Linked DNA regions of Sus scrofa. The protein of the gene in region 3 purifies or fractionates together with the protein of the main gene of each other region. This does not show direct contact. Links are inferred from orthologs where the notes say so. Each region holds a gene or a part of one and is shown on either strand. Other genes may lie near its edges.

Evidence for each region.
Region 1: the proteins of NCBP1 (region 3) and ALYREF purify together in Homo sapiens (affinity purification with western blotting; 6 studies listed by BioGRID and IntAct, with this or other methods). This does not show direct contact. The link is inferred for Sus scrofa from reciprocal best matches to the Homo sapiens genes NCBP1 and ALYREF.
Region 2: the proteins of NCBP1 (region 3) and EIF4G1 purify together in Homo sapiens (affinity purification with western blotting; 3 studies listed by BioGRID and IntAct, with this or other methods). This does not show direct contact. The link is inferred for Sus scrofa from reciprocal best matches to the Homo sapiens genes NCBP1 and EIF4G1.
Region 4: the proteins of NCBP1 (region 3) and XPO1 purify together in Homo sapiens (affinity purification with western blotting; 3 studies listed by BioGRID and IntAct, with this or other methods). This does not show direct contact. The link is inferred for Sus scrofa from reciprocal best matches to the Homo sapiens genes NCBP1 and XPO1.

Annotation. Positions count from the first base shown.
Region 1 is NC_010454.4:1,096,751-1,102,779, reverse strand, and holds the start of ALYREF (THO complex subunit 4), read right to left. Parts: upstream 3,542-6,029; 5' UTR 3,419-3,541; coding exon 3,185-3,418; intron 2,757-3,184; coding exon 2,625-2,756; intron 1,157-2,624; coding exon 1,009-1,156; intron 456-1,008; coding exon 392-455; intron 296-391; coding exon 118-295; intron 32-117; coding exon 17-31; 3' UTR 1-16. Other genes in the region: ANAPC11 (anaphase-promoting complex subunit 11), read left to right, coding at 4,218-4,326. UniProt on the Homo sapiens protein: Functions as an mRNA export adapter; component of the transcription/export (TREX) complex which is thought to couple mRNA transcription, processing and nuclear export, and specifically associates with spliced mRNA and not with unspliced pre-mRNA.
Region 2 is NC_010455.5:122,201,264-122,207,046, reverse strand, and holds the start of EIF4G1 (eukaryotic translation initiation factor 4 gamma 1), read right to left. Parts: upstream 3,542-5,783; 5' UTR 3,389-3,541; intron 2,937-3,388; exon of another isoform or gene 2,569-2,936; 5' UTR 2,512-2,568; intron 2,295-2,511; 5' UTR 2,261-2,294; coding exon 2,201-2,260; intron 1,965-2,200; exon of another isoform or gene 1,905-1,964; coding exon 1,818-1,904; intron 1,333-1,817; coding exon of another isoform or gene 1,312-1,332; intron 767-1,311; coding exon 590-766; intron 368-589; coding exon 268-367; intron 1-267.
Region 3 is NC_010443.5:239,505,386-239,510,711, forward strand, and holds part of NCBP1 (nuclear cap-binding protein subunit 1), read left to right. Parts: intron 1-521; coding exon 522-629; intron 630-1,209; coding exon 1,210-1,331; intron 1,332-2,779; coding exon 2,780-2,849; intron 2,850-3,572; coding exon 3,573-3,788; intron 3,789-5,326. UniProt on the Homo sapiens protein: Component of the cap-binding complex (CBC), which binds cotranscriptionally to the 5'-cap of pre-mRNAs and is involved in various processes such as pre-mRNA splicing, translation regulation, nonsense-mediated mRNA decay, RNA-mediated gene silencing (RNAi) by microRNAs (miRNAs) and mRNA export.
Region 4 is NC_010445.4:80,252,726-80,258,556, forward strand, and holds the start of XPO1 (exportin-1), read left to right. Parts: upstream 1-2,290; 5' UTR 2,291-3,104; intron 3,105-5,831. UniProt on the Homo sapiens protein: Mediates the nuclear export of cellular proteins (cargos) bearing a leucine-rich nuclear export signal (NES) and of RNAs.

The DNA of each region.
Region 1 (6,029 bases), on a different chromosome or scaffold from region 3:
GGATTTGCCGGTCTGCTTAGCTGGTGTCCATCTGAAACAGAGGACGAGGGTTCTCGCTCACACCGGGCCTCCCAGGAGGTCCGGGGCCGCTGCCCCGCGTCCTCCTCTGGGACCTACCCTGGCGTTGTAAGCGTCCAGCTGGGCGTCCAACTCCTCCGCGGAAAGCTGCTGCTTCGAACTCCTGCCGGTGCCTCTGCCTCTGCCACGGCTGCCGCCACGGGTGCCTCTCCGGGTGCCGCCACCGCCACCGAAACCTCCGGAACCACGGTTTCTGGTCATGCCCCCTCTGTTTACACTAGCAGGAAGAGGGAACTCACTCTCGTGCCCGGGGGGGCCTGCGAGCTGAGTGGACACCCCAAGGGCCAGCCCCGCCCGGAGGCTGCACACTCACCTCTGTGCAGGCCTCCGCTGCGTGTCGATCTGTGAGGTGACGAGCTGAATGTTCATGGGGCGACCTGCGGCAGAGAACACAAGAGGGCCCGCTCCGTTAGAGGGCTCTGCGGTCGGCCTGCTGGGCGCCGCGCCCCAGCCTCCACGCGAGCACTGGGAAGGGGCCTGGGCATCTCGATGCTCCCTCCCGACGAGGCCAACAGCCTGGAGATGCCGCTGGGAGAGCGAGCTCGCGCTGAGCACAGCCCAGCAGCATCCTCCCGGGTCCAGGGCAGGGGGGTGTCTGAAGGGCTCCCGAGTGGAAAGGCCCCTGGTCTCTAGACTACGGCCCCGCGCTCAGAGGCGGACTACGGCGGTTCTGAAGGGCCTTCGCAGAAGGGAGTCTCCTGCAAGGAGCTGCAGGAGGGGAGGACTGGGGCTTGCTTGCTGGAGGGGGTTCACGAGAGGCTGGTCCAGGTGCGCGGGGGAGCGTGAGACGGCAGAACGGGAAGAGGGAGAAAAAGGGGCGACGGCCAAGTGTCCTCAGGCACAGGCGGCCCCACTCCTGGCGCCCGAGGCCTTTCTGGGCGCGGCTCCCGACGCACCGTCCAGGGCCACGCACCGTCCAGGGGTACGCACCGTCCAGGGGTACGCCGTTGTACTGCTTCATAGCTTTCAGGGCGTCTGCTTTCCGCTCAAAGTGCACATCAGCGGTCCCCAAACTGCGGCCCGATCGGTCATAGTGCACAGCCGCCTTCTTCAGAGTTCCAAACTCAGCAAAGAGTTCCTGTGAGTCCGAAAGAGCACTCGTCAGCGAAGCCCTTTTCTTCCTGGCAGCCCAGGGACACTCCCTGGAAGTGTGCACTGCTTTGGGGTATCTACCTGGGAGGCAGACGTCACGTGTGGGGGGGGCAGGGCAGTGGTAGCGGGAACTGGGGGATGGGATGGGGCAGGGGGACAGCAACTTCCAGGCAGGAGCCGTTGGGCCTGAGGGCTCCTGCCAGTCGGGGGACCTGACACAGGTACCACAGTGCAGGTAAAGCATCACAAAGCCCGCGGGGAAGGGCGCGAGATTAAGTGGCCCTCGCCTTCTACAGAGGAAGACCTACGACACGCCCGAGGACTGCGCCGAGAAGCTGCAAAGGCCAAGATCACAGAGCGAGGGGCTCTAAGCCAAGGTGGATCAGCTCGAAGGGCCCGCTGACTCGGGAGCCCTGACCCAGCCCCTCCCCCGGGCAGATTCGGGCTCACCTTTCCCTCTCCTCCTACTCAAGCCTGCCGCAAAGTCTGAAGTCAAGCGCTGCCATGGAAACTGCCCTGACCTCAGGCAGGCTGGGAGTTGGAGAGGGAACCCAGAGTGTGGGGCTACTCCGGCCGCAGGCACACAGCGGGAAGTGGAGTTCACCAAAAGCGGTTTCCAGTGGATGCCAGAAACCACCTTAAAAAAAGTGTGGAGACACTGTGAGCGCTCACTGGCCTTGCTCTGTCCCCCCACGGCTAAGTAAAACGGCTGGGCTCTGGGAGACCGAACCCAGGAAGGCCCCTCACCCGGACCCAGCCATCTGCAGGACTGACCCCCAAAACGGCATTACTTCACGAGAAAACCAGTTCAAGTGCCTTGGAGAGTGGATTTAAAAAAGAGAAAAAGAAACGGAAAAGAAAAGAGGCTTGAGTCGAAGACGAGACTAAATAAACACTTGCGCCGCTAACGAGACCCAGAGCGTGAGCATAGGTGAGAGAAAGACCGGGACCCAGTTCCACGGGGCTTAAGGCAGAGGGGACCAGAGATGCCTGTAGCACTCTGCTTCTGCACTTTGTCAGCCCTGCAGAGAAAGGGCTTTCTCCTCCCAAAGCATCACTAAAACGGGCACGAAATAAAGCCGCAGACAGCCGCGCTCTTTCAGGGACGCAGAACCACACGCGTTCAGCCACACTTGCCAGAAAAGGGCAGGCAGAGGCTCCTCACCCCCACGGCGGATGCTTAGCTACCAAAGCCGCGGTGCCTCGGCCCGGCCCGACCCGGGCCTGTCTTCCAGCGCAAACTGAACCAGCAGTTGGACTTTCAGCTCTAGCTTGGCCTTTGCTATGCACTCCAGCAGCCCCTTCCAGGGAGCAGTGGTGGCCAGCCCTCGAGGGCCTGGGAGGGGCTCACTGTCCCAAGGTGGGTGCGGATTCAGGGTCCCGGCCCGTCCCAAACACCACAGTCAGTGCTGTACAGGGTGAGCTGCTCCCGAGGAGAAGCTCCAGTCTCTTACCTGAATATCAGCGTCGGACACGCCAAAATCCAGATTTGACACCAACAGTTTCCCACCGGTCTCCACGCCGGCACCACCCCCAAAACCGCTGTCGAAAAGGTCGTGTTGCCATTTGTCAGGAAGCTGTTTCGGCTAAAGAAAAAGAAAACGCGACAGAAAAAGACCCATAAGTCGCGCTCCAGGACTCGCCCTCGCCCCCACGGCCACAAGACCTTCCCCCATCGCGGCCCGGGAGGAAGGCACCGAGAGGGGCCCGCAGCCCCCGCTTCCCGCCCGCGGGGCCGCACTTCCCGCAACTTCTCGGTTCCCTCCAACTAACTTCCCGCCGCCAGGGCGGCCGCGCCAACGTCTCCTCGGCCCCCGGCGCCACGAGGCCCGGCGTCCAGCCCAAACAAAGGCCGGTGGGGTCTCGCTTCGGGGCCCGGCTGGCGCGCGACCTCCCCCGTCCGCCCGGCCGGCGCCCGCGCCCCCACCCCCCCGGCCCGGCCCGCCCGCTGCTCCCGCGTCGCGCTGCCTGCCCGCCCCCCGGCCGCGGCCCGCCAGCCGGCCTCCGCACTCACCCTGCTGTAGGGCGCCGGCCGGTTCCTGCCGCCGCCCGCCGCGCCGCGGGCGATGGCCGGCCGGTTCCGAATGGGTCCGCCGCCTCGGCTCACTCGCGCGGCAGCCTGCGCCCCGCCGCCGCGGCCGCCCTGGGAGCCGGCCCGGCCGCGGCCCCTGCCCCCGCCGCGGCCGCCTCGCTGGCTCCGGTTCAGCTTAATGATGTCGTCCAGAGACATATCCATTTTGTCGGCCATGGCGGGCGCGGAATCGGCCTCGGCTGGAGCCCGCGCGTCAGCACGCCGGCGCGTCACTTCCTGCGCCGCGCGGCCTTTTCCGGGCCTGCGTCCTCGGAGCGGCCGCGGATTGGCTGCGAGGCGGCGGCGGCGTCGGGGGGCGGGGCGGGGCGTGCGCGCTGGACCCCGGGCTTCGGCGGGCGCCGCTGAGAAGTGCCTGTCCGCAGCCGCGGTCGTTTATATACCTTCCCGCGCGGGCGCCGGCGCCGCCAACGGAAGGCGGGTGGGGCAGCGCGTGATTTGGTTAGTGGGGGTGCGGCCGTTGGGCGGGGCCGGGCTTCCGCCCCTCCCTTGCCCCTCCTTGCACGTCCTAACCGGGTCCTGCCCCTCCCCCCGCCCCGAACCCGCGCTCGGGTCCGCGGAGGCGGGGGGAGCGGCCGCGCAGGCCGGGGGCTTGTTTCCGCGGGTGTCTTGCAGGGAGGGGTTTGGCTCTCCTCCTGACCTCGACAGTCATGTCCCTTTCAGACGTACACACGGCAGGATTTTGCAGTGGTTAACGGAAGCCGACGCCCCCTTCCGTGGACGCCCGGGCAGAAGCGCGGCGTTGGGAGATGCGCTGAGCGCCCGGTCCTCCCGGGGACCCGGCCCTTGCCCCAGCCGCCTCGCTGACAGTTTGTGCTGCCCTGCCGGAGGCGACTCCTGCCCTCCCCGACCCTCTAGAGGGCTCGGGGCGGAACCTCTTCTTTGGCTCCCAAGTGCTGTAGCTCAGCAGCCTCACCGGAACCCCGGGGGTCTCTTCCCTCCCGCAGGCTCCCGCGCCATGAAGGTGAAGATCAAGTGCTGGAACGGCGTGGCCACGTGGCTCTGGGTGGCCAACGACGAGAACTGCGGTATCTGCCGGATGGCCTTCAATGGCTGCTGCCCGGACTGTGAGTGCCCCTGCCCGCCCTCGAGTTTTGACTGCTTGCTGGCCTTGGCAGGTCCTTAGAGATACCTGCATAGCATCCCCAGCGTTTGATTTCCTTTCCCCAAGAAAGTTAATGGGGAAAGGCTAGTCAGTTTGGGCCCATGTTTGTACACGAGACGTCTGTCAAAGGTTTGGTGAGAAAAAAGAGCACAGCTTCCTGTCCAGGTGAGAGTCACTGTGAAACACGTGGGACTGAGAGATGTGTTAAGATCTTTTATTCGAAGACCTTTATTCTCAAGCCAACAAAAGAATGGAATGTTATAAAACCACTCTCCCATCTAGCAGGTCAAACCGGAAATGACATGTTTCCGTATTTGCTTTTGTCCAAATGTTTTAAAGTCAGTGCTGGAGGTAATGCTTTTTGCCACTCACTTCTCTCTGTCATTCGCCACTGCTGTCACCACAGACAACACAACGCAAGGAGACATCTTTTGCCGCTTTTGCCGTGTTCGTTCCTTCCCAGGGTGTTTGGTGAAGTGAAAGTGGTTGTTATATTCAGGTCAAGAGTTAATTTAGTTTGGGGACAGACGAAAGGGTCTCTGGCTTTGCCAAGGGGACAAGGGTGGTCCCAAGAGGGAGGTGGGGCTTGGGGACCACTGAGCAGCTGCTCGGGTGCAGTGAGTGACCAGGCCTGTCTTGTGGGGCCATGTGAGGCCGAATGGTGCTGCTTCTTAGAGTCACGTGTTTCTACCCTGGTGGTAATCCTTCGTCTTCCTGCTGAGAGGGAATCTCATCACCCAGGACTCAGCCCATCCTGTGAGTCAGCCAGGCGGGATGCAATCTTAGGAGGCCCTGACTGGCTCTGCCTGATGGGGTTTTCCTGAACGTGAAGGAGAGGAGAAGTGGGAGATCTGGCCCTTCCTAGAGAAAAAAGAAAGGAAACCACCTTTTCCAAGAGTACCACACGGGTGGGGTGGGTATCTGCAACCTCCTCAGCAGCAGATTACGGCCTCAGGAGAGAAGAGTCCTCGAAAGCAATTTTGTGGCTGTGCCCTTGGCCCGAAGTGGGCGATGAGCCTGTGTGGTACCCGGTGCACACCGCCCAGTGGCACACTCCAGCTGCGGGGCAGGCTGACGGGCGAGTGTGTCAGCTGCAACGGAGAGGGGGCTTGGAGTCTGAACTTGGGGCCTGCTGGTGGTGAAACAGAGGGAGCCGGTGGTACTGAGCAAAGTGGTGGGTGAGCCCAGGATGCCTTCTGCCCGGATCAGGTGACACTGGGGCTTCTCTGCGGAAACGGCACTCTGAAGAATCCGGAGGGACTCAGACTGTGATGAATCCACTCCTCCCAGGGTTTCCGAGGGCGGGCGAGTCTTGCTGAGAGGATTCCACCGGCCTGAGCCGGCCCGCCGCCAGCATGCTCTTGTACTGTCAGGTCCCGGGGCAGGCAGGCCGGCCGGGGCACCCACCAGTGGGCTAGCTGGCCCTGCTCGTCCTCTCCTGTTCTGTTTGTGAGGGAGTCTGACGTGTCAGGGGTGATGGCAAGCCTTGTTCTGCTGAGGCGGAACGGCCGGGTGGGACGCCGGACGCTTATCTAAACGAGGGCCCCCACCCGGTGGGCTCCTGGCACAGCGTCCTGCTCACCCCACCCCCGTGGCCTGGGAGGCAGAGGGAGTTTTGTCCTTGCCAAAGGTTGTCGGAAAGGGTGAGATGTCTCCAGTTACAAA
Region 2 (5,783 bases), on a different chromosome or scaffold from region 3:
GAATGAGTGTCACAGGGAATATTTACTCAAAGGCCCTCAAACTGGTGCCTGAACTATACTCCTTGATGTGGGGAGGACTCCCAACTCTCAGCGATACTATAAGACCCTCTCCCGCCACCCCCACACCAATTACATATTAAGCACCAATCCCTACTACCTCTACCATTTTTAGACCAAGAGACAAACCTGGGAAGGGTCTTAGGAATTAGTAAGCAAGTTTAGATGTTCCCTGGGACTCACTCTCACCTAACTCCCTCCCCTGCTTACCGTAGGTCCCAAACTCTGTAGGGTTTGCACCTGGATAGAAGCTTGGGGCTCCCGGCTGCACAGGATACTGCTGTGTCGGGACAACATATGTGGAACGCCCCTGGTGGAGGGGAAAGGGGAGGATGAGAATGAAGGAGTTAAGGGAGCTATGAAGACCATATCAGACTACAAAGAGTATGTAGGACAAGACAGGACAAGCCAACTCTAGGCAATGACCAGAAGGAAGTCCCACCTCTGGAGAAGAGATGGGACTGGAGGGGAGGGGGGAGGGTGGGAGGGTACAAGGTTCTGTGGCTTCCAGCCCCCAAGCCTCCAGCCTCACCTGTCCAGGGATGTAGTAGGCCCCCTGGGAGGCTGGGTAGGAGATCTGGGAAGGGATCATCATTACTTGGGATCCAGCAGGGTAGACATGGGCAGCTGGGCCAGGGCGGGCAGGGGCTGCACTCTGCACTCGGGAGGCTGCACTGCTCGGGGGCTGGGCCCGGCTAGGGTAGAAGTGCTGTCAGGAGGGAGGAAGGCAGTTGGCAATGGGAAGGGGAGGAGGTGGACAGCAAAAGGGCCATTCCACTATGTCTCTAGTCAGGAGAGAAGTACCAGGGGCTTTGGAGCATGAAGACCAACACTTCCAAGACTCACTTGACCAAGTGATGGCTAAGTGGCCTCTTATACTCACATACGCCCTCCAAACTCAGGTATACACTTGGCACTCTGTATATTTACTCCCTCCCTGCCATGCATACTCAGATCACCTCACCAGGCTATCCTTCAGCAGAGGCTTCCTAACACCCAGATGCATCATGCCTAAGTAAAGCCTTTTTCAGCAACATACTCCCCAGCATGCACTGCTCCACCCTAAGGTACTGAGGAGCTCACCGCTAACATGCAACAGTCTCCCAGTTCCCAGATGTGAACTACACAAGATTTAGCCCCTAACATGCATCGGTCAGCCTCAGACTGAGGACCCAGACTGAGTCTAGCCCCTGACTAGGGCAGAGTGTAAGGGTGAGACCCGGAGAGAGTTCAGGATTAGCAATGGGGTATTACCTGCAGAGACCTGAATCCTCCCTGAGAGCACATGGGGACAGGAAAGAAAAGAATTATCCCCAAGGTGATGAGGAGGGAAAGAAAATGAAGGAAGCAGGACAAGAATCCTCTCCCACTTGTGAGGAAGAATTTAGGGAACAGAGAAAGGCAAGAACTAGCTGGAGTGTTTATCTTGCCACAGTCCAAAAGAGAAAGATGGATGGGGAATGGAGCAATGGCAACCTCCCAGTAAAAGAAAACAGGAAAGCAGGAGTTGGCAGCAGGGCCCAAAGCACTGCCCCCAAGGCACCAGGACCCCTAGGAATGCCATCCCCACCAACTACATACTCCAAGGGGCCAGCCACCGTAAGTAATCAACAGTGCAAAGTGCAGAACCGCATGAAAGCAACTGTCAGGAAGTTGGGGCAGGTACAAGGCCTCCATAGTTTCCATCCTAGGCCCAAACTGGCCTAAGCTTCACATGGTTCCCACCCAGGCCCCCTACTCCCCTCCCCACAGCCCCTCACCTGGCGGGGCTGAGAAGGCGTGTTCATTTGTGTCGCTTGAGGCGTACTGAACACCACCGGTGCTGTCTGCCCCGGGGGAAACGCTGGCTGAAGGGGGGAGACCAGAATTCAGCAAGAGGGGAAACCCAGGTGGGGCAGAAACTCAAGCTGGTGAAGTAAGGGGAGCAGAGCTGTGGCAAGAGCCTCAACAGTCCACATATACCCTCCCCAAGACAGCCCCTAAGAACAGCCCCGGGGCCCTGCCTCAATTTGGCAGCAGGAAGCTGCACTTTGCCCTGACACAGAAGGGGGTGGGAAAATCCAGAGGTTGGAACCTGTTCCTGACCCGGCTGCCTGGTCTCCCCCACCCCCACCCCAGTTGCTGCTAATTCCTCCCTAATTACCTGTGGGAGTCCAGGGGATGGGGCAGGTGGGGGGCCTGTGGGCTGTGGAGCTTTGTTCATTTCATTTGGTGCCACATCAGGGTCCCCCCAGCACCTGTTGGGAAAGAGCGGAGCTCGGAAAGGGGAAGGGACCCAAGCTTAAGGCAAATGGAGTGGGGGAGGGATGAAGCAAGGTCTGGGTCCCACAACAAGCCCCGGAATCGCCAAAAAGGTGAAGGAGCATAAAACCCAGCCTATGTCCCCACCGACACCTTGTCAGACCCGCAGCTCCAACCACCCCCCCTGATCTGCTGAAACAGCCCCTCACTCACCCCCTCGGTTAAGAATAAATCCACGGTGCGGCCTACAGGTTCTGGGCATCCGAGGGCCTGGGGTTGGGAGGTGGGGGGTATCAACCTGGCTCCGCGGGGCCCAAGACCAACCAGACCGGAAATTCCAGGTCTCGCTGGCACCAGGCTCCCGGATCACAAACGGAGCTAGCAGCTTCGGCCGTGGTGTCCCCACCCCCCACCCGGGGACACCGGGTTCGGGGCCTGGCCCAGGGGCACACAAGGCACGCCTGCCGCGGGTGGCCGCGGGTGCACCCGCACGGGGCTAGAGGCGAGGCCTGCCGCCGCCCAGGAGTGGAGGCCAGGAAAAGCGGCAGTCGGGCCGTAAAAGGCCAGGCGGGCGGCGGCCGAAGAAGAGCCGGTTTGAAGCAAGTGAGGGTCGGCCTGGAGGGCGGGCGGGGCCGGGGGCTCCTCCCTGCCCGCCGCCGCCGCCTCCCTCCCCTGCGCCCTCCCTGCGCAGCGCCGGCCAGTGCCAAAGAACAACGTGTCACTTCCCGGCGGCCGGGCCGCAAAGGGGGGAGGGGGCGGCGGGCCGGGAGTCGCGGTGCCTGCGCCCGTAGGGCCTCCTCGGGTCGGGCCGAGGTGGCACTTAGCAGCCGGGAAACCCGGCGCCCTCCCAGCCCGCGGGGACCGCATATTCCGGCCCCGCGCTCCCCCACCCCCACCCAGCAGCCAGGCCGGGCCAGGCCGGGCACACGTGGGCCGGGGATCGGGCCCTGGCGGCCCGGGGCCCGGGCTTGGGCCGAGGAGCCAGGGCGCCGGGGAGGCGGCGCAGGGTAGCCGGTCCCGGCCCGGATGGCGGCGGATGCGGGGGGAGGGGATGGGGGGGCCGGGTCGGGCCCGGACATGGCGGCTTTACCTTCAGTCTCCTTCAGTCCGCGCGGCCGAGCCCCACGCAGCCGCACAGACGTAGTCCACAACCATTTCCGGCTCCCCGCACGGATCCCGCTCGGCGGCCACCGCTTCTCCGCAGGCGCAGCCGGCGCCCCCACGTGACCGGCGCAGAGGGCGGAGCCTTGCCCGGTGCCGCGAAGCACATGGGATTTGCCCCGCCTAGTCATGTGACAGCCACTGCCCGCCCCCGTGTCCCCTCCCGAACTTTGGAATTCCCAGACCGATCCCCCTCTGCGACTCAGTTCCGCGATTCTTTAGTTCATTCATACTTTGAGCAGGCATTTATTGAGTGCATACTGAATGCTAGGCTAAGTGCTGGCAGGGGGCTGAGAATACTGAAATTAAAGACTCAGTCCTGCCGAAGTAAATCATGGTACAAATGCGGAAAGAAACACACGTTAGGCAGCCTTTGAAAGTAATGTAGATTAGATCAATAAAAGACTTATTAAACTGAATGTTTATATGTTTAATAAGGATTGAAACATTCTAACTAGGGAATTAGTAAATTTGTCTCTTTTTTTTTTTTTTTGCCACATCTTCCAGCATATGGAAGTCCCCTGACCTCGGATGGAATCCGTGCCACAGTAGCAGCCCGAGCCGCTGCAGTGACAACGTGGGATCTTTAATAAGGGAACTACTAGATTTGTCTTTTATAAAGAATAAAAATCGGCCATTCCCAGGGAGGAACTAAAAGCAATCACACAAACTTCAAATAGTGGTGGAACAAGTAATCCCAAGACCCCTCCCTGCCCAGTAGCCAAAAGATTTTAAACTGCCTGAAGGGACATACTAGAGTCAAATCTACTTACTCCTAGTCAGCCCCAGAATTTAATCCAAACTCTACTACTTACTTATAGGTTGTAAAATGGAACTATTTGGAGTTTCTGTGTGGCTCAGCTGCATTGGCTGGTGTCACTGCTGTGGCACAGGTTTGATCCCTAGCTTAGAAATTAGAAACTGCAGGAAGCCATGGGCATGACAAAAAAAAAAAGGAAATACTTGAAACTAGGCAGTCTAGCTCAAGTTTGAACTTTTACCCACCATTGTGAGGATTTAAAGGAGTTAATTCCTGTGAAAGTGCTTAAAACAGTGCCTAGGTGCCTAGCAAAGGCTATTTCTTCTCTCTCCTCCACATCTGCCCCCTTCTGTATCCAAACACATATAATCTCACAGGAAAACAATTTCTTTGGCACCAATGATGAACTGGTCACTCTGAATATATGACCCTTGTGATCTCAATCCTTACAACTTCTTACAAAATGGATTGTATCATTATTCCCATTGGATGAGTAACTGATGCTCCAAAGAAAGGAGAGCAGAATAGACACATAGAGGAGGAACCATAGAAAAATGAAAGATCTAGAGTGTTCTCTGTGATGCTCTTCATTTGAGTTCTGTGACTTTATCATGTCTGACTGGCTGGCTCCCTTCTCTGGTCTTCTCATTTCTCTTTCTCCCTAAGCAAACTTATAAATAAAAATCAATTACTGCCTACATGCCAATTCGTTCCCAGCTCAGAAATCACTCTTGAACAACAGTCAGAACCAAGGTACTACCAGAGATCCCTTGTGGCAGAGCAGGTTAAGGACCCAGTGGTATCACCTCAGTGGTTTGGGTTGATACTGTGGTAAGAATTTGATCCCTGGCCCAGGAAATTACACATGTGGTGAATAGGCGGGCCTAACCAGGAAATCTGGGATTCACCCCTAAATTCCTTCCCATCCACATGTTACATCATCTCAGCAGATATCAGTTCCTATTGATGTTTGGATCAAAATCAAGTCCTGTTGATTTCATCTTTAAAAATTCTTCTGGGAGTTCCCATCGTGGCACAGCGGAAACAAATCTGACTAGGAATCATGAGGTTGCATGTTTGATCCCTGGCCTTGATCAGTGGGTTAAGGATCTAGTGTGGCCGTAAGCTGTGGTGTAGGTCACAGACAGCTCAGATCTGGCATTGCCATGGCGTAAGCTGGCAGCTGTAGCTTCAATTAGACCCCTAGCCTGGGAACCTCCATACACCTTGGGTGCGGCCCTAAAAAACAAACGACAACAAAAAATACATATATATGTACAACTTGATGAGTTTTGAGATATATATCATCACTACCACTACCACTGCAAATCAAGATACTAATTCCATCACTCTCAACTTTTACTCCTTTCCTTTGGAACCATCTTTCTCTCCACTCCCACAGATAACAACTGACCTTGTCACTAGAAATTGTATAAAAGTGAAATTTTATATGAATTAACAGTGTACTTTAAAAAACTGGATTATTTCATGCAAAATAATAAATTTGAAATTCATTCACGTTGTTACTTGTGTCACTTGTTACTTTTTATTGTTGATGTTTCTT
Region 3 (5,326 bases):
CTCAGCAGTGGCACACAAAGGACACCCAATAAATATCTTTTCATGAATTTCCATTTCTGTTGTCCAGTGAAAATTTCCTTCACAGCCAAACAGCAAAAGTTGTAGTAGCTAGAATATTACAGTTTAGGTTCTTATTCCAGTATAAATGTGAAGCTATCAATGCACAGACTCCTGTCCCTCCTGTAGTCTATCACAGCTACTCAGCTCTGCTATTAGAACATAAAAGCAGCTGCAGATAGTATGTAAATAGATGAGCATGGCTGTGTAAAAGTTGATTTGTGGACACTGAAATTTACTTTTGTAACTTGTGTGAATCAGAATATTCTTTTGGGTCTTTTTCTAGCATTTAAATATCTAAAAACTACTCTTAGTTCACAGGCTGCTTAAAAATAGGCATTGGGCTAGATTTGGCCCTTGGGCTATAGTTTTTCAGACCTGTGGTTTCAACCTTTACGCAATTGCTTGTTTTATAATTACTATAAAGGGCATTTACATTTAATAGAAATTGTTTTACCCAACAGGTCCGTTTTTTATCTGATCTTGTGAATTGTCATGTCATTGCTGCTCCATCAATGGTTGCTATGTTTGAAAATTTTGTAAGTGTTACTCAGGAAGAAGATGTGCCTCAGGTAAGAAGACCCCTTATGCTGCTTCTTGTCCATACAGTACCAGGTATTTTCTCTTTAGTATGGAATCTTATCCATACAGTACCACGAATTTTTCACCCTTTAGTAATTAAAAAAACCCAAAAGATTCACGGCAGGTTATCACATTATAAATTCTTAACATCTAGGAGTTCCCATTGTGGCTTAGCGGAAACAAACCCCACTAGCATCCATGAGGATTCAGATTCCATCCCTGGCCTCACTTGGTGGGTTGAGGATCTGAAGTTGCCATGAGCTGTGGTGTAGGCCGGCAGCTGCAGCTCTGATTCGACCCTTAGCCTGGGAACTTCCACATGCTGCACCTATAGCAAAAAAACTTAATATCTAAAAATTAGGTCAGCTGGCTTAATGGTGGGTTCTCATGACATCTGTATTTTAGTTAAATGATCCATTCTGGTAAGATTAAAACTAAGGTATCTAAAAATACTCTGAATGAGCCAGATATTTTCTTTAAGCCCTTTTAATTAGTGTCCATAGGATTTCATTGAAGAATAGATATACTATGTATGAAAATTCACTTGTACCTATTTTAAATATTCTTTAGGTGCGGCGGGATTGGTACGTGTATGCCTTTCTGTCGTCCTTACCCTGGGTTGGAAAGGAGTTGTATGAAAAGAAAGATGCCGAGATGGACCGCATCTTTGCCAACACTGAAAGCTATCTCAAGTAAGAACACAGCAGCATGATAGTGGTTTTGTGTCCCCTTAAGTTTTTTCAGAATAATTTGATTGCAAGTTTCATTTTCTGTTAATAGATACTTCTTTGGGTATTGTTAATATCTACTTAGTTATAAATAAAGCTAAAGTAAGTCTAAAGTTAAAAATGTGCTTTCTCATTACATTGTTAACTTTAAATGATTTTTTCAATGTTTTATATTTTTTTAAATTTTACTTTTTTAGGAGTTCCCGTTGTGGCTCAGTGGTTTAAGAACCCAACTAGTATCCATGAGAATGCGGGTTCAATACCTGGCCTTGTTCAGTGGGTTAAGGATCTGGCATTGCCATGAGCTATAGCGTAGGTCACAGATAGAGCTCAGATCCCACGTTGCTGTGGCGTAGGCTGGCAGCTGTAGCTTTGATTCAACCCCTAGCCTGGGAACTTCCATATGCCACAGGTGCAGCCTTTAAAAAAAAAGTTTTACTTTTTAAAAATAATATCTAGATGTTTGCAAAAGAATGAAAATAAGAGTATGAATATCCTAATGTTTGAAGAAGTCCTTCCCCCTTTTTATACAAATGATATGGTGTACACACTTGCTTTTTTTCTTCTGTACACATTTGGTACTCCCCCACACCAGTGTAGTTTGGATTTGTCGCATAAAAGTATATAGTTCTACCTCCTTCTTTTTAACAGCTGTATAGTATTACACTCCCCCCCCCCCCGCCTTTTTTCCTTTCTATGACCACACCTGCTTCTCATGGAAGTTCCCAGGGTAGGGGTCAGATCAGAGCTGCAGTTGCAGACCTAAGCCACAGCCAAATCGGATCCAAGCCACATTTGCAACCTACACCTCGCTTGTGGCAACGCTGGATCCTTAACCCACTGAGCAAGGCTGGGGATTGAACCCATATTCTCATGGATACTATGTCAGATTCTTAACCTGCTGAGCCACAACAGGAACTCCAGTATTCCCCTCTTTTAATGTACCATAATTTCTTTAACTTGTCTCCTGTTGGTAGACTTTGGGGCCTATGCAAGTCTTTCCTTATTGTAAACAGTGTTTTCAGTGAGTATCCTTGTACCTGTGTCTTTGTGCACATATGTTTGTGGGGCATGTGTGTTGTTAGAAATGGCATTGCTGGGTTGAAGTGTCTTAACTATATTAATGTTGATAGATGTAGTCAAATTGCCTTCCAAAGAGATTAGACTCTTCCACATCTCTTCTAAGAGATTATATCAATTATCCCTCTACCAGCAATGTTTTTGAGTTTTTGAAACTTTGTATTTGCCTACATTTTGGCAATATAATACATTATCAAAGATTCTGATATCTGCCAATCTGATAGGTTAAAGTGTTTCACTCCTTTAATTTGAATTTTATTAATTGTGAAAACAACTGAACATCTTTTCATGTTTTTAAAAACCTAAATGTAGATTTTCATTTTTATCTTTAGAAGACGCCAAAAGACTCATGTGCCCATGTTACAGGTATGGACTGCTGAGAAACCACATCCACAAGAAGAGGTAAATTGTTTTCAGTTTCTTATGATACAAGCACAGTTGGAGTAGATTCTAATATCTGTGACATGTTCGAGTCCTTCCACTTGTGAAACCTTGGCTACGTTTTCACATTTCATATCAAGGGTTCAGCTCCTCATAGCCATATGCAGATAGTGGATTTTTAATAAATCTAGAATGTCATTAACAGTCCCTATTCTGGGGATTCCAGATATCATAGAATTGATGTATTTTTTGTTAGAATGCCCAATTTGAAAAAATAAGTGTAACAGCCCCAGTCTTTACAAAGTAATTGAAGTAAAAACAGAAACTTAGGAGTTCCCTTCATGGTGCAGTGGAAACAAATCCGACTAGGAACCTTGAGGTTGTGAGTTCGATCCCTGGCCTTGCTCAGTGGGTTAAGGATCCATCGTTGCCGTGAGCTGTGGTGTAGGTCACAGACGCGGCTCAGATCCTGCATTTCCGTGGCTGTGGTGTAGGCTGGCAGCTACAGCTCCCATTGGACTGTTAGCCTGGGAACCTCCATATGTTGCAGGTGCGGCCCTAAAAAGCCAAAAAAAAAACCACAGAAACTTAGCACTGTTTCTTTGTACTATGTTTAACTGTAAGTTAGCTTCCTTTTGTTTCCTGTATTTTAGAAAATAGTTGATTTTTGGTTTTGTCTAGTCAAAATATGATTTCATCTAGCCTTCAAATATCTATTAATTATTAAAAATAATCTGTCTTTAGTATTTAGATTGCCTGTGGGCCCAGATTCAGAAATTGAAAAAGGATCGCTGGCAGGAGCGACACATCCTAAGACCTTATCTTGCCTTTGACAGCATTCTGTGTGAAGCACTGCAGCACAACCTGCCTCCTTTCACTCCACCTCCTCACACTGAAGACTCCGTGTACCCGATGCCAAGGGTCATCTTCAGGATGTTTGATTACACAGACGATCCTGAGGTACATACATGACCAGCAGAAGTACCTCTCAAAGGGCCTGTGTTGTTTGTACTTGTGGTTTAATCTTGTTTGAATTATGCTGGTTGGACATTTTAATTTTGAGTTGTTTATTATCTAAGAGAGTCAGTGGCAGTGAAGTTAACAGTCTAATTTTGTGAATGGTGTTACCTCATTATGTAAGAAATCATATTTATCCTGTGTAAATTAAGAGACAGCACAGCATGTAATTGAAGAGTGTAGGTTTGAGAGCCAGATTGGTTTGGGTTTTAATCCTGATTTAGTCAGATCCTAGCTGTGTCATCTTGGGTGAATTATTTGCCTCTCTAGCCTTACTTTCCTAAAGAAATAATAATAGCATAAAGTTGTAATGAGGATTAAATTATTAACACACACAAAATGCGTTGAACAGTACGTGACATGTGATGAATGCTCAGTAATTTTATCTTCTTTATTAGCTGTTTTTAAAGAAAAATGCCTAATTTTGGAGATTGTCCATCTTTCTCTCATCCTCAGTTCATCTTATTATATAATATTTTTAAAATATTATAAAGTATTTTTATGTATGGATGTATTTTTGTCTTTTTAGGGCCACACCGGTGGCATATGGGAGAGCCCAGGCTAGGAGTAGAATGAGAGCTATAGCTTCCAGCCTGCGCCACAGCCACAGCAACATGGGATCCAAGCCGCATCTGTGACCTACACGACAGCTCACAGCAACACTGGATTCTCAACCCACTAAGTGAGGCCAGGGATTGAACCCACATCCTCATGGATACTAATCGGGTTCGTTTCCACTGAGCCACAATGGGAACTCCCATAAAGTATTTTTAATTTAAAAACCCCAAAGGATACTATGAGCTGACTTTATAATTCTTAAGTATACATATTCTTTATTATGACATCAAGTTACTCAGCCATTGTACTTTAGCAGTTAAGAAAATGTGTAATTTTGATATGAACATTTGGTACAAAAATTTACAATTTACCTATGTTTTAATTACTTTATATCTTTGCATTTCAGTGATACCTTTGATACCCAAGCAGCAAGCACAGTAATCACTAGATTGGTTCTGAATAGAAACTTCTCTGGCTAAAGTACCATACCTGTTGCCTAGTACATCCCAGTCAGCATGGAGCAGAATTTCTCAGCCTCAGTGCAGTTGATGTTTTGGTCTGAATAATCCTTTGTGTGGGGCTTTCCTGTGAATTGTAGGATGCTTGGCGGCTTCCCTGGGCTCTACCCTCTGGATACCAGTAGAGGCTAAATATCAGTCGTGACAACCAAAAATGTCTCCAGAGATTGCCAGATGTCCCCTTAGGGGCATAATTCAGCCGCTGGCCATAATTCAGCCAATATTACCACACAAGGTCAAATTTGAGTTTTCTTTCCCTATCCTCTCTCTTCTGTGCTACAGAATTTTGCTTATGACCAGTGAAATGATAGTATATGTATACTCTATCTCAGAGTAAGAAGTTACTGGATATCCAGTTATATATACATACAAAATCATCACCTTGTTACCCATTTGCAGTATTCC
Region 4 (5,831 bases), on a different chromosome or scaffold from region 3:
AGTTTCTGTTTCTTTTATTTCTGAGGAATGCCATTGTTTGGTGAGACAATGTGGACTAGTAAAAAGAACACAAATGGGTTCTAAATTGACTCAACTGTTGTGGGGTGGTGTGAATGCATCAGTACATGTAATAGAGGGTCCGGAGGAAGCAGGAGCAAGATCTGAAAAAGAACAACTACCTCACATTGCTGCTGTTAAGAATTCATTGAAAATTGTTGAGAAAGGTCTCTAACAGAGGGCTAGACAAGCAGGCAGGCATTTGATACAGTTTATTAACATTTCCTTATTCATGGCCCACTTCAACCTTTGAAGTCTTGTTTCCAACAAATGGAGATAATGTAAAAAGGATTTTAAATATGTCAGACATGTTTTCTGAAATTGATTCTGAAAACACAGTGATCATACAGAATTATCTCCTCCAGTCACTTCATTTTGCGCTTGTTAATAAGTTTATATTGAATACTCCATTTTGGCTAACTCTAGGCAAAAATAATGGGCTAAATGTTTACATCTGATTAACTATGGTCCAGAGAGATATGATCTCCTAGGGGATATGACTTAAAGACGAGAAGAGCTAAAGAAGAGGACAGAAAACTGGGACTATTTAGTGCTTTATGGGCCACACTGCTCTTTCACACCCATTTGATCTCTATACAGATGAGACAGGCATGGATGATATGAGTCTCATTAATGAGTGAAAAGGAAACTGAGGCCCAAAGAGGTCAAGAGACTTGCCCAAGGTCACATTCTCAGCAAAGCCAGGTCTTACAAACCAGTCGATTTTTATTCATTGTTCTGGCATCTAAAAAAATCAGTGGCCTGGTGCAAGAGCTGAAAATGTGGAGGAAAAACTTTTTAAAAAACAGGACAGTCCTGTAATAGGATGTAAGTATTCCAGATGATCAGTGTATTCGTCACATACATAATACAGTTTGGTTTGATACCATTCAAGCTAAGCAATGAATAAAAAATCTTAGGTCTCAAAGTAATCCAACATCATTTTGGCAAACCTATTGGAGGGTGAGAGAGTTACTCTTAAGCAGTGTTTGGGTATTAGCCTTTGTCCACTGTAAGTGAGAATTTGCTGAAGAAAACTGTGATTTAATAAACCATTTATCAACCTCTTGGTGGCACAATGGGCCTACTAAATGTTGGTGGGCTGCTTGCTGTTTCTTCAGCAAAGAACAATCAGTAAAGCTTACTTGGAGGGCACTTGCGGACAAGAGAGACAACCATGTGAAGGGCCACGTGCGTGTGACTTTCATAGAAAATACTACTTGGTGATGATGAAATTTGTGAAGGGTAACTACCCGAAAGGAAAAAGCGAAGGTAAAGGAAGATCAAGGGCAGCTGGCACTCAAGCTTACCCAGCAAAAAGCACAGGATGTTAAACCAATTACAGGGATTACAGTGTCTTAATTTTTAGGAAGAATTGGTTGTTGAAGCAGCCAAATTCCAACCTGGGGAGACGGCGAGTTAAAATTTGAAGGAGACTTGCCCAAGAACTACTTAGGTAACTTTCCCACGTCTCGGAGAGGAGTAAGAGGCGCCAAGGGAGCGTGCCCCATACCTCACCCCAACCTCTCAACATCTCGGCCCCAAACCCGGTCTGGGGCCTACGACTGGCCTCCGTTGTGTTGTTTTCGCTCCTTTTTTCCACCCCGCCCCTCTCCGATTAAAAAAAAACTGGGTGTGCCCTAGTTTTTGCACAGCCCCCATCCGATGGGTGGGGGACAGGTCCCGACCACTGCGGGTTAAGGCCCTGCAGCTAGGCGGGAGCCGGCGGGGGCCGACCAACGCGAGTCCGGGAGTAGCCGAGCGGACGCAGGCGGCCGCGCGCCGCGCTTAAACTCGCGCCTCCACCAGCTCACGAGCTGCGCCCCACCCGCTTCGTCACCAAAGGCGCCCAGCCAATGAACGGGCCGGAAAGGCCGGGCCTGCGGGCTAAGCCCTGGGAGGGGGAGCGGAGGGAGGAGGACGGGAAGTTGAGGGCGGGCTATATTTGATTGACAGACCTCTCGAACCAATCTTCCGCGCGGCTTCTCTTCGCTCTCTACTCTGCTCTGCTTAGCTCTTCGTCCCACCTTCTCCTCTTCCACCCCCCCTCCTCGCTCCTTTGCGACCCGCCCCACTTCCCTTCCCCCACTCTGCGGGCAAATCGCTGCTGGAAAGAGGCGGGGGCCGAAGCGGCGGGCTCGTGTGGAGCCTAGAGCAGAGATTGATGGGCGATATGACCAATAGGAGGTAGGCTGATGGCGCGGCTATGGCTGGAAGCGGCCAATGGGCAAGCGGACTGGGGGCGGAGGCCCAGGTTCCAAACGCTCCGCGGCGCCATGGGCTGAAAACTCAACCGAGATGGAATCTCCCAGTCTGAACCGGTTTCAACCGGTTCCGAGTTTGAGGCACTAGGAGGAGGGGGAGAAGCGGCTGCAGCGGCCGCGGCAGGAGCAGCGGGAGCTACAGCATCAGCAAGAGCAACAGTAGCTACAGCCCCGGCGGCGGTGCCTGTTCCAGTCTTTGCTGCTGCAGTCCGTGCAACCACCCAGAGGGGGAGGGGGGAACCACCAGTCGCTGAGGAGCAAGAGAAGGGGGGAAAGTTTAGGCGAGCCTGGGTGGGGGGGGCCCAGCACCGGAGCCGCGTGAGAGAGGGAGCCGTATTTTGGTAGGGGGGAGTCGGACTGTAACTGGCAGCAGAGCGTCCCCCGACCGTGTGGACTCTACACCCCCTACTCCTGCCGCTCCTGCTGCCGCCTGTGGCTGGAGGGTCCCCCTGGGGCTGAATCTTTGGGACCTGACCCGGTTCCCCTCCCCCTTCCCTCACGCCCCAGCCAGGCGGGAGCATTTATTCCACATATTAATTCCCCTTCTTTTTTTGGGGGGGAGGGTGGGTGTGTGTGTCGGGGGGAGGTGTCCCTGAGATAGTAAATATTGAGCTTTTTTTTTTTTTTTTGCCCTTATCGCCTTCGTTTTTTTTTTAATTTCTTTTTTTAAGGTGGGGAAACTGTGAAACCCACCTTGATTTCCTCCCCTCTTCCCCCCCTCCCCATCTTCCCTCGCCCTAATCCCCCGACAAGGAAGGAAGAAGCAGTTGGTTCAATCTCTGGGTAAGTCGACTGTGTCTTCGGGGCCGAGGGTCGGGCGGCGGCGCGGCCGGGCGGGAGGAGGCTGGTGTGGGGCGCGGCGGCGGCCGCGGGAGACGAGCCGGGGAGGCGGCGGCGGGCCCACAGCACAGCCTGCGATTGAATGGAGCCGCTTCTGCCGCTGGGGGATGGAGGCGGGGAGGCGGCCGCGGGAGGGGAGCGCTTGCTTGGGTCATTCGCGTGTGCGGGTAGCGGTGGAGGAAGGCAAGGAGCGTGATAGTGAAGTGGGGCCCGGCGCGGGAGTGGAAGGGCTTCCCCAGCCCAAGGGGCCGGGGAGAAGTTAGGGTGATTTCAGGAACATCTCAGGAAATTATTAGGAGTGGAAGTTTCCAGAAATATTTAGTGCAGCAGCATTGAAACGTCCGCCTGCATCACGTGGCCCCTCGGTGGAGAGCTTGGGATCGCGGGAGGGAGGGGCTGATGCCTGCTCCTCCTGCAGGGAAACTCAGAATCTTTGGGTTTTTGCAAAGTAGGATTAAAAGTAGGGAAGGTTATTTGGTTTTTTTGGGGGGGGGGAATCTGCAGGTGAGGTTCCATGCTGTAGTTTTGCTTTCACGGACTTGAGTGTGTTAAGTGATCAAAACGTTTACTGCTGGCGCTGTACAGTGGACAATATCCTGATTCTGCTTCATTCCGATGTCTGAGTTTGGGGTGGGTGGAAGGAAGCGGTGTACTAGAGGAAGCATTAAAGATCTGCCCAGCACGGACCTCTGATCACGCAGAGGCCATGCTGCATTGAGAATGGGGCGGTGAACTTCAGGCGCCTGGTCTAAATGCCTCCTCCGAGTATGGGCGGGGTGAGTGCGTGCTCCAGTATGCTATAGTTAGAAGTGCTGCGGATCGGTTCGGGTGGGAAGAGAGGGGAGGGCGGGCCTTAGTGAGGTGTGTTTCTACTGAATGAAGCAGGCAATTGCCCACACACCTAAAGTAGCAGTCTTTCTCCTTGTAGCGACTTGTTTTTTGACCTACTATGTAGTTATCATTAAGCAACGGTTATGATTTTTTGGCTTTTGGATGGGAGCTGGCAGTGTGTAGCTGCCAGTTTGAAGTGGCTGTGAAGGTATTTTGGTAGTCACTTGTAGAGTCACCACATGGCTGGACAGTACCTTGTATTTGCTGTGCAGTGAGTGGAATTTAGCATTGAGTGTCCCAAGGAACGGAGAAAGCTTTTGTGGTTTCTTTCACCTCCCGCTTTGGCTGTTTTGCTATCTGCTTGATTGTGTATCTTAAGCGCGTTGGACACTGCTGTTGGTGGAAAGAATGTTTTGGAAGCTATTTAATTTGGGAGACTAAATGTGCTTGGCATTGACCAGAAAGCCGCCATTTCTGTACTACGTACAGTTTAAGACTAGGTAGGTCATTTCGAAGATAGGCGCTAGTTCTAAGGGTGGCATACCCTGCTGTATTTAACAGAAGCTTCTATTCTAAACCTGCTTTTTCACAGGATTTGTCTTGAACTCTGTAAAGACAATGTACTTGAAAATGAAACTTTTTATAGTTACTTTATTTTTTGTTTTGGCTATTACATTATGATAGGACTAAATAGGAGAAAAGTTCGTTCAGTTTTTAATTAACTCCCCCCCATAGAACATTTGATATGTAGATCTTGATTCTTCGTGGACATTGCTTTTCAGGCTCAATTTTTAAGATTGTTCTGATCCTTTAAAATTACATGACACTTGAAGGGGAGAGATTTAACGCTTTAATTTGTGAAATATATATTTCCTTTTTTGTATTAATATTTAGGTCAAAGATTATGTTAGGTAGTAACTGCTGGTAGAAATTTTTGAAATCTCATCAGTTTTGTTGTCAATGGATCAAAAAACTTGAATGAAAGTCCTTAAACTCTTAATTTCTCAATTTTTACATTATATCTTATATTTTATCTGATTGATCTTTCCGACTTTTACTTTGTCGTAACTGACATTATCATTAAGACATTCGAGTTGAAATTACTGCCATTTTTAAGAATATTTTTAAACCGTAGTAAAATAGCCAAGAAATAGTGCCCTTTTCCTATCAAGCTAGTTTGTCCAAACATAAGGTAATCAAATTAACCACTCATTTCCTGATCTGGAAAGGTTAAGTGGGGGAGAAGTAGAGATGACCATCTGACCTTGTTGGATCTAAGTACAGTAAACCAAGGGTACTTAACCTGAGGCGTGGCTTTCAGGGTGTCCTGAATCATCTGCAGTTGTATGAAAAGTTTTCAAATTTTTTAATTTGGCAAGAGCTATCCTGTTCCTCTGATTGTGAGGCATCTTGACCCAAAAAACGTTGAGGAGTACTGATATAGCCAATCAGACATAAGTGGCTCTGGCTTTGAAGAAAAAGTAAAAGGAAAGATTTTTATAATACTGGGCAACAAAAATGTGAAAGTGTGCCAGCACATTAGAGTTGCGTCCTCTTAAAAGGGTAACATTGCATATGAACCCCAGTAGGTTTTGGCCAGTACATTATTTGAGGTGAAGAAGTTCATTTTTCTCTTATGATAAAGTTTGTTTTTGTTTGGGAAACAGTTGGCAAGCTTTTACAGCCATATGCTTTGCCAGTGAATACCTGGAAATTTAAAAAATGTTTTGTTTGATGTATTACCAAAAAGGTTTTTTTAAGACTGTATATAGTCAAGGAGTTTGTACACTTTAATTTTAATCTTCAAATTCATTCAAAGATAAAAGAAACAAATATAGA